Linked DNA regions of Saccharomyces cerevisiae S288C. The protein of the gene in region 2 interacts with the protein of the main gene of each other region in a biochemical or structural test. Each region holds a gene or a part of one and is shown on either strand. Other genes may lie near its edges.

Evidence for each region.
Region 1: the proteins of SEC31 (region 2) and PEF1 form a complex in vitro, tested with the Saccharomyces cerevisiae proteins (one study listed by BioGRID).

What each region holds. Positions count from the first base shown.
Region 1 is NC_001139.9:604,297-607,682, reverse strand, and holds PEF1 (Pef1p), read right to left. Parts: upstream 1,548-3,386; coding exon 540-1,547; downstream 1-539. Other genes in the region: septin SPR3, read right to left, coding at 1-120; LST7 (Lst7p), read left to right, coding at 2,182-2,910; RSC subunit protein RSC1, read right to left, coding at 3,236-3,386. UniProt on the Saccharomyces cerevisiae protein: Calcium-binding protein that is required for polar bud growth and cell wall abscission. Can also bind zinc ions.
Region 2 is NC_001136.10:105,693-111,849, reverse strand, and holds SEC31 (Sec31p), read right to left. Parts: upstream 4,643-6,157; coding exon 821-4,642; downstream 1-820. Other genes in the region: SNF3 (glucose sensor), read right to left, coding at 1-270; ASF2 (Asf2p), read left to right, coding at 5,356-6,157. UniProt on the Saccharomyces cerevisiae protein: Component of the coat protein complex II (COPII) which promotes the formation of transport vesicles from the endoplasmic reticulum (ER).

The DNA.
Region 1 (3,386 bases), on a different chromosome or scaffold from region 2:
GACGGCGTACTGTCCTTGGGAACTTTGTCTACGTATTTTCACTTCCTCAGCGAATCCAGAGACTATCTTGGGAAATTCGACAGGACAGTCTGTTGACAACCGACTCCCTTTTGACTTCATAATAAAAATTCAATGACGCAAAAGGAATTTTAGGTTTTTATTATTTATTTATTTATTTCTGTTAATTGATCCTTTTCTTTCCACTACCAACAACAAAAAAGGGGGGAAAAAGATGTATAATCTAAAAGACACTAATCTGCTCTTGATATCCTTATTATGTAATGGAATAACTCATATAAATGTAAAATAGAACTTCAAATTAATATTATAATGATAGTCGAGGTCAGACACACTTATAATACATTAAGTAAAGAAAAAAAAATGTCTGTCATCGAGGTCTCTTTTGTGTCGCTAACAAAACATCACTAAATACGAAGACACTTTGCATGGGAAGGATGCAGCAAATGGCAAACTAACGGGCCATTGATTGGTTTACCTCTTCTATTTGTATTACGACCAGAAAGAACGAATGGTTTTCATCAATGAGGTAGGAAACGACCTAAATATAATGTAGCATCGATAAAATCTTTGTACTGTATGGTTGCAATGCCTTCTTGATTAGTATCGAATTTCCTGAATAATTTTGTTAATCTCATTAGCCAAACTAACGCCTCAACGAATTTATCAAACTTTAGTTCTTTTCCTGTTCCATTTCTGTTTATAAACTCAGCATATTGGTCAAATGTTTTCTCGCTAACTTCAAAAGGTATTAGATATCCTAGTTCTTGAAGTGAGTTATGAAATTCGCTTACAGAAATGGTGAGCGATCCGTTGATATCATTGTCCACATAAACTTTTCTCCAACTTTTCACTCTTTTGTATAGGGCGATGAATTCTGCCTGGTTGACAGTGCCAAACCTGGAAGCACCAAATAAATTTATCAGCGCATCTACTGATGATATACAAAAATGGGAGTTGTCGTCGTTTTGTAGTAAGTTCTGTAGTTCCTCAGCTGTCAGTCGGTTTTTGCCCTTTACATCATGGTTATGAAATAGCTGTGTGGCCACTTGCATGTCTCGTACATCTTCTCTGCTATCGAACGAAGCAGGTGCAACTTTCTTCAAGAGTTGTGCAGGCACTGCTTGATTGTGAATTAGGGGAGGAGGAGAGGAAGCTATCCGTTGAGCGGAAGTGTTCAAGTTGTTATAATGGGTTGGCGCTGGAGGTATAGGCCTGCCTGCTGGTTTCTGTGCGATAACATTATATCTAGGATCCACAGGTGTTTTCGTATGTCTTGGAGAATAACTTTGGGGAGAACCATAGGAGTGGTGACCGTTTTCTGCTCTGTTTTTGTTATATTGAGTTTGTAAGGGAATTGGAGCTGAGTGGACTCTAGTGTTGGGAGTTTGTGCTTGAGTAACCTTTATTTGTTGCTGTCGTTGTTTCTCTTTCTCGAATTCACGTCTAGTTTCCTCCATGGCCTCTTTAGGTGTAGCATAGCGTACAAAGTCATCGCCAGCAGCGTATTTGAGCTTCTTTGCACACATCGTTTAATGGTGTAGGTTTATAGTTATTTTATGCGGTATACGGTATACATACATGTTCAGTGAAATAGCAATTCCCATCGCTTTGTATTCCTGCGGTTTTTTTATTCGGATAGTTTCTAAATAAAAAAAATCGACAAGACCCTGAGCCAGATGACTGAAATTATCAGTTGTTAAAAGCGATGGAGCACTATCCAATATGCGTATTGTTTTCTTCTTCTGAGTTATGTATATAATGGTGAACTACAAGATTATATAGATTCAGGTGCAAGGTATTGAGCATGACACATGCTGTGTGTATCGTGGCCTATTCACTGTGGCCTATTTCATTCCACTTCCACTGAATATCATTTCAAATGTATTAAAAGACTTTTGAAAGTAACACTGATAGTATGTTGTAGTTGTTCTTGGAAATGTTGAACCAAACCGATTGTTCATTCGCCAAGTTCGAAGATGCCGTTTTCGTACTTGCCAGAAAAAACACGCTTGAAAAAGAAAATCTTGAGTAAAAAGAAAAGGGCTTAGGAATCTTCTATTCGATGACCATCAAACGATAAATGAAGCAATAAAGTCCAACTAACTAGCACCTCCATAAAATAAGTTAGCGTTTAAATGGTTGATGAAATAGATGCATAGAATGTCCTCGACAGTGATTTCATTGGCTCATTTCTGCGACAAGCATGGCCCAAGGATCATATCAGTTACACAATCCGCAGAAAAGGGAACGCTAGGTGAAGAATTACTAGTGCCTGATTATCCAACTGAATCATATTGCGAATCATGTCTTTTACAGTTTCCTGAAGAGTCAACTAGATCGATGCGGTGCTTCATCGAAGATGTTCCGTTTATAACTACCCAATATTCTTCTATAAGATACCAATTGCTAAATTCTATTATTAAAAGAGCCTTTTCTGAAGAAACAATGATTTATGATAATATGCCTTTTATATTTTTTGATGATCTTAGAGGATTGAACTTAGTTATAGGCTTTAAACTGTATGATGAAAATGCTAGAGGCAATGAAAGAAGATATTGTTTTATTTTAACAGTCGATTCCAGAAGCCATGACGATTCTATGAAAATGTTGAGTGAACACTGGAACTTTATCATCGGTGGATTTGATAAAATGATTGCATATATTAAAAACATTCATAAAAGCGAATTCTTGGGGAAAAATAAAACGGTGGAAAACAATTTGGAAACATTGAATAATAACGCTTTCATTGGCTCATATTTACGTGCAAACAAATCTAAATTCGGCCGTAATTTGGTGTCTCTGACGGATGATAAATTTCTCTTCGTGCGAATACATAAATGGAATTCATTTTTACTCCATACAGTAATGAATGAAAATAAATTACCTTGACTCAAATAAACTGAGATAAATGCTGGTAACCTAATAACCGATGAAATTACGGCATGGAAAATTGTTGGAACAACCTCCTAGTTCCTTTTATTCTTTCATTTCGATTCGAAATAGTCATCAAGGCCGAATACTTTACTCCGACGTGGCTTCTGGGATGAATTTAAAAAGGAAAGCCATTCTGGACCGCGATAGATAAATAGTAAGCTAGGTTTACAATTGTGCGTTTTGAAAGGCAACAAAACGATTGAGGTCTATCGTATGAATAACAAAATATATATGGTATATGCATGAACATATATAGATACATGTGGTGAATTTATCATGGTCATAATTTATTAAATTCTCGTAATCTGAATGCAAGGTATTCAGCGGAAGAATTTAAGCCAAAAGCAGACGTGGTCGGGATATCTTCAATTTCGTGCTCGTCTTCTGTATCTTCGTTTTCGTCTTCACTCTCCTCCGCCGTATCGCATTCT
Region 2 (6,157 bases):
CTGAGGAGGCTCTGAAAATAAAATTGAGTTGTCGTCTATGGTAGAAATGTCATCCGTAAACACGGATGTCATATTAGATTGCCTGTCAGAATTTTGCCGCTGCAAGCTCGTAGGGGTTCGTATGCTACCTGTCGTATCATCTGTTGTATGATCTTTGTTACTATTGTTTCGTCGCAGTGCTATGCCCTTCACCCTCTGAAGAGCTTTGTCTAGGAAACCCTGTTTCTCTTGGCGTAATGTTTCGCTAGAACTGTTACTATTAGGATCCATTTATAAATTCTTCTTTCTATGCCAACAAAGGCATATCCTTCTGTTTAAAAAGGTCCTCAGTAAAACTTTTCTGTTTTAATTTCTATAGTGAGGTCAACTTATAGTGACTCTCTCTGTTTTTCTTCAATAAAATGCTTCTTATCTGTCCTATGATCTCTCGATGTGTAAGTACTATCAATGCAATTTGCCGAGGATAGGACTATTGTCTAGTTTTTCTCAGTATGACTGAATTTCCCCAGATTATAGAATAATTGACAGTTCCTCCTCCTTTTGTTCTTTAGAATGTGCGATGCGGCAAGTTTAAAATTTCCCCGGAGATTTGCCGCTCGAGGTGTACATGGTAAAAACATAAGGGAAAGGCTGTAAAAAAGATATAAGAGGTATTGGTTGGTTTTGAGAAGTAATGTTAAGCTAGTTCTAATTGTGATCTTGATTAGGTTTAAACATAAAAGGATAAGTACATAAATATATAAATATAATACTATAAGACATAATAAGAAAAAAACAAGGCCAATACGCCACTTTTTGTACTGAAAGTTTTGAGACTGAATTAATTCAAAGTCGCTTCAGCTATGCCAATCAACCTCTTCACTCCTGTCAGCCAGTTACCACCCTCTTGAGCATGGTTTGTAGCGATATTAGCATGGATGACCATAGCTTCTTTGTATTTCTTTTCCTTCATTAATGCGACGAGGTCATGTAAACAATCGATTGTTGGTTGGGTTAATAAATCCTGCTTTTCCAAATGGTAGAAAAGAATCTTTAATCGTTTATCACAATCCTTTAATTGTTTGGAGTACTCCTTTGGGGTCAATGGTGTTACGCGAGCCAGTTCTTCTTTCAAGAAGTCGACAATGGGTTGTTGATCAGCTGGAATTTCATGACTGACATTCTCAGCGGAGGTATTAACCTGAGAAGCCAAAGTTGGCGGTTGAGAAGGCTGCAATGGAGAGGCCGAGCTGGAAAGGGTTGGAGGATAAGTAGCACCTTGAGATGGGTTTTGTTCTATACTAGCTAACTTGTTGCTTCTCTTCTTCATGCTAATCGGAGGGGGGCCAGTGGGAGGTTTGTTAAAAACGGGAGGAGGAGAGGTCATGGTATGGTTATTAGTATACGGACCGGTTGGAGGATAGGAGGAACCGTTGGGTTGAGTGGTTGCAGTTGGAGCATATGGATTAGAGGCCTTTGGCAACGGAGCTGGAGGCACGCCTCCAGATAATGGGGTTGCTACTCTTTGTTGTGGTGGTGGAGCATAGGGGTTCGATGAAGCTACCTGAGCGGTGTTTGACGTTTGGTTTGCTGTAGAAATAGTACCTATTGGGAATTGTTGTGATGATTGAGGAGGAGCGTATGGATTTGATATGGATGCCCTTGGTGACTCAGAAGTTGCAACCAAGGATGGGACTCTAGAATTTTTGTGTAGAGGAGGTGGTGATACCATTGACACAGAAGAGGGAGCTCTGGAAAGAGGTGGCGGAGGCATGGTACTAGCAGCATTTGCAGGGATACCATTTAATGGAGTTGGTGTCGATAGGATATTTGGAGGGGCAACAGATACAGCCTTGGCACGAGATGGTTTTTCTTTGACCTTCAAAGGCAAATCATTCCAACCATCATTGGCTTTACGGTTGAGATGTGGCGTTTGACCCGATACAGCATTAATTGGAGGTTGTGAAGGAATAGAGCTAGATTGAGCATTATAGTCGCCCATAATAGGCATACCAGGTTGTATAGGAGCAAAAGTGTTTTGCGGAATCGACGTTGTAGATACGTTCGTTGCAGGAACTGTTGCAGTGGCATATGGGTTAGGCGGAGGAGCAAAAGAATTCAATCTGGTCGAGCTATTTGTTTTGTTAACAAAAGGTGACGCCATCGAAGGTTGGCTTGGTGGCGCATATTTACCTTCTGTATGAACAGGAGCACTAGTGGTGGTTGCTGGAACGTACGGCTTTGGAGGTAGAGCATTTGCAGAGGCGCCTGGTGTCATACCATAAAATGGTGCCTGCATACTAGGAATAGAAGTAGTAGAAGGCATTCCAGGAGTTGGTAGTACAGGAACGTTCTTATTTGTCTTGGCGTTTGTATACTTGGCTTTGCTGGTCGTCGCTGTCGCAGGATTTTGTGCCGGTAATGATTTGCCGGAAGCAATCAAGACACGTGCCTTTTCTGTTTTAACCTCTTCATTGTCACTTGGTAAACTATTTAAGAATTCAGTGGCTAGTTCGAAATTTCCTGTGGAAGTAGTTAAGTTGATAAATTCCAAAAATTTGGCAATTAATTGCTCATTATTAATGGTAGAGCTTCCATTAATGAAGTTGGAAAATACGGTGAATCTTTCAATGAACTCAGTTAGACATTCGGAATGAGCTTCATAAATTGTCTTATTATCTTTCTTCAATTTATCCTCCAAATCTGGAAATTCTGATAACCAAATTGAAGCCACCTTATCTAATGATCCGGCAGCCAAGTACAAAGTCAAAGAATCTTGTCTATGACCATTTTCCTTTAACCTGTCTCCCAATTTAATCAACATTTCATTCCTCTGGGCGATATCATTTGGATATAAGTTTTGAATTGCTTTAGAGATAAACTTCCACTGAGAGACATCCAAATTTTCAACCAAATCATCTACTTCCCTCTTAGAAATGGAGTATAGTATCCTCGAGAGCGATGATTTAGATCCATACTTCGCAAAATAGGCATTCTTGACACTTTCCTTTAATCTTTCGTTATTTGAATCTAATGCGATCACCATGGCCTCCATTAGTAAGTCATTCTCTAGAGAATTTTTCACAGCGCTCTTAATGTTGCCAGAAACCAAGTTCTTGGAAATAGTTTGTTCGATATTACCAGACAAGGAGAAATCGCCCTCGGGTTGGAAATTGGTTTCAATTTGTTGAAAGAATTCTTCCCCATCGTCTTCTTTCTCATTGTTGGCATCGTCTTGTGCATCTGATTCATCGTTGTCGAATGCAAGAGCCTCTTTCAAGAACTCCTCAGTACCGTCCATTGATAACTTTTCCAATAAATTCCAATCTTCTTCATTAACGTCATCAATAACTTTGACCAGTCTTTGATTTATTAATGGTTTGAAATCCTTAGTTTTCAACGCTTCACTCAAAGTAGTGTTTGATTCTAAGCCTGAAATTTTTGGGTTTGTTATAGATACACCTTTACCATCTGGAGTAATTTGAACCAATTTACCACCGAAAGCCCAATGAGCTGCGGGAGATGGTTCCCCATACCAAGTTGGGGCTTGTAAATGGAAAACAGTTGGCTTCTCTTTTGATTCCTCTCGGGAAACATTATTCCAAAAATCTGTTTCAGATTCTTGCTGCTTAGTTTCGGTTTCTTGCTCATCCAAAGTGTTTGTGAGATTTTGCAAAGTCTGTACCTCAATTTTGTTATCAAAGGAGGCACAAGCAAATAGGTCTGGAGCCTCTGGTGCAAATTTGGTCTTAAAACACCAGTTTCCACGAGCTGGGAATTGGGACAGTTGTTCGGCTGACTCAGGGTTCCATAGAAGAACGGTATTATCTCTACCACTGGACAATAATAGATGTTCGTCCTGATGACACCAATCTAATGACAAAATACCCTTTTGATGGCCTTGATTTAAAGTCTGCAATGGTGTGTTGGCGTTTCTTAAATCCCAGATCAGGATAGATGGATCATTATCGCTACCAGTAGCCGTTGCCACTCTTGTGGAGTTTTTTGGGTGCCATTCAACAACGGACAGCTGTTGCTTGATACCTGAATTAGGTGAAGTGTAACTTAGATGAATGACTTCCTTCTTAGCCTTCAAATCCCAAATAGATGCGAAATTAGACGACCCGGCAGATGCAAAAACATGGGCCAAAGATTGGTTCCATGCTAGGGAAATGACCTCGTCAACGGACGACATCGATTGACCCGGTGTCAATGGAGTATAATTGGAGGGCGATTCAGTGCATTTATTCATGTCCCAAATAAAAATTTCACCGTTGTTACCACCCGAAGCAAGAACGTTGTCTTGCTTTGCGTTAAACTTTACCGTCTTCACAGAGGAAGAATGGTTGCTAAATCTGGCCATGGAGTTGATAGCGTTGTTTGCTTCATTGGTGGAGTACAATTCCAAACTACCGTTATCCAGAGCACCAGCAATAATCTTGTTATTATGAGACCAATCCAAATCATTGAATTTGGAATCCACTTGCAAGGAAGCAATAGGCTTCTCCGAATCAGCAGCCAACAATGACCACAATTCTAGAGATGAATCAGTGGAGAAATTAGCATCCACCGTACCAGATACGGTACCAGAGACCAATAATGGAATTTTATCATGTGACCACGCAAACGTGGCTGTTCGAGAAAACTCAGCAAGTTTGACCATCTTTATTGTTCAATTAGGGAGAGCAAACGGGAACAAAGGGAAATATGTGTGAGTAAAGTGTCTATCGCAGAAGCTTGCCTTGTCCTAATGTTCTACACCTACAGTAGCGAAATAGTGCTGGTTCGTGACGTGTAAATTCAGAATGCAACCCGACTACAGGAATAGAGGAATGGATCTGACACGACTTGTTTGTTCTTTTCACTTTTCGTTCTCGGGCGGATTGATCGTGTATGGTGATTTTTCACGCTGAAGGGGTAGAACCAGAAGGGGATGGAAGGGGATAGATGAAAAAAAAAAAAATCTATGAAGTAGTAGCAAGATAGGCCAGATCTCCAGTCAATTGATGAGTGTGGTATTAGGCAGAAGCAGAGGACGGTGAAGAAGCATATCACATAATTCTCCACCAATTCTAAACGCACAGTTGCACCTTTTTTGGAAGACAATCTTTTCCTTGACTCGGAGGGCATATAACTTTGTATATTGTAAATTATGAAACCAACTACCAAGGCAGGTATGTTGCATAGCAATGGAGAAGATCTTCTGCGATGCTAGTATTAGCAAAGATGTAAAAGCGCTTTTCATGTCTTTAGGAGCGACGCGACGCGTGAGTAACATATCTATCCATAGGACAAATAAATAAACACCGGGGACGATTTTTGCACACAGCTTCGATCAGTGGAGAAAGGAGGGAAAAAGGCCAAGACTGAGTGCTTATGCCAAAAAATCGTGGTGTCTTGGATGCCATCACTCGCAGTGTGATAGATGGTAGTGATCAGGAGTCGAGCTCATCTTTCAACTCGGACAAGGAATATGCGGCTGTGACGAAGGGCCTCAGCAGCTCAAGAGTACAAAAGAAGTCATCTTTAAGGCAGATGAAAAGCAAAGTCAAGGAGCTTCAATCTTTAGTGAATCATTACCGAGAAAATGAAGCCGCTTTAGTGTCTAGCGCCAAGTTATTGTCCGGCGAGATCATAGGCTATGAAATTAAGATGGCTAGTTTACATGGAAAAATGAAAAGTATCCTGGATGAGAACAACGCGTTAAAGGAAACGCACAAGAGCTCTGCTGAAAAGAGAATCGAACTTGTTCGACTTCCCTCTAGCAAAGAAGAACGCAACTACGATGAATACACTTTGCTTGTTAATCTCAAGAAGGAAATCTGCGCCAAGTTACAGGACTACAAAAACGTCCAGAACACGGTGAACACCAAGTTAGATGAGATTCACACGTTCCATGAAAAATACTACGAAGGACTAGAACTAAGTTTAGACAGCAAGGTGTTTGATGCAGAAAGCTCAAAAGAGCTGGCCAAAGTGAGGCGAGAACTGAATAACGTGAGAAAAAATTCCGAAATCAAAGTGAATAACTTGAAAATGCAACTGCTACAAGCAACCAAATCACTGGAGCACTTGAAGAAGCAGGCTAAAGCAAAGGATGACTATCTTAAATGTATTCCTGAGCTGGTCGACAAAGCCAATCTCACGATGTTATCCTACAAGAAAAGCATCGCTAACC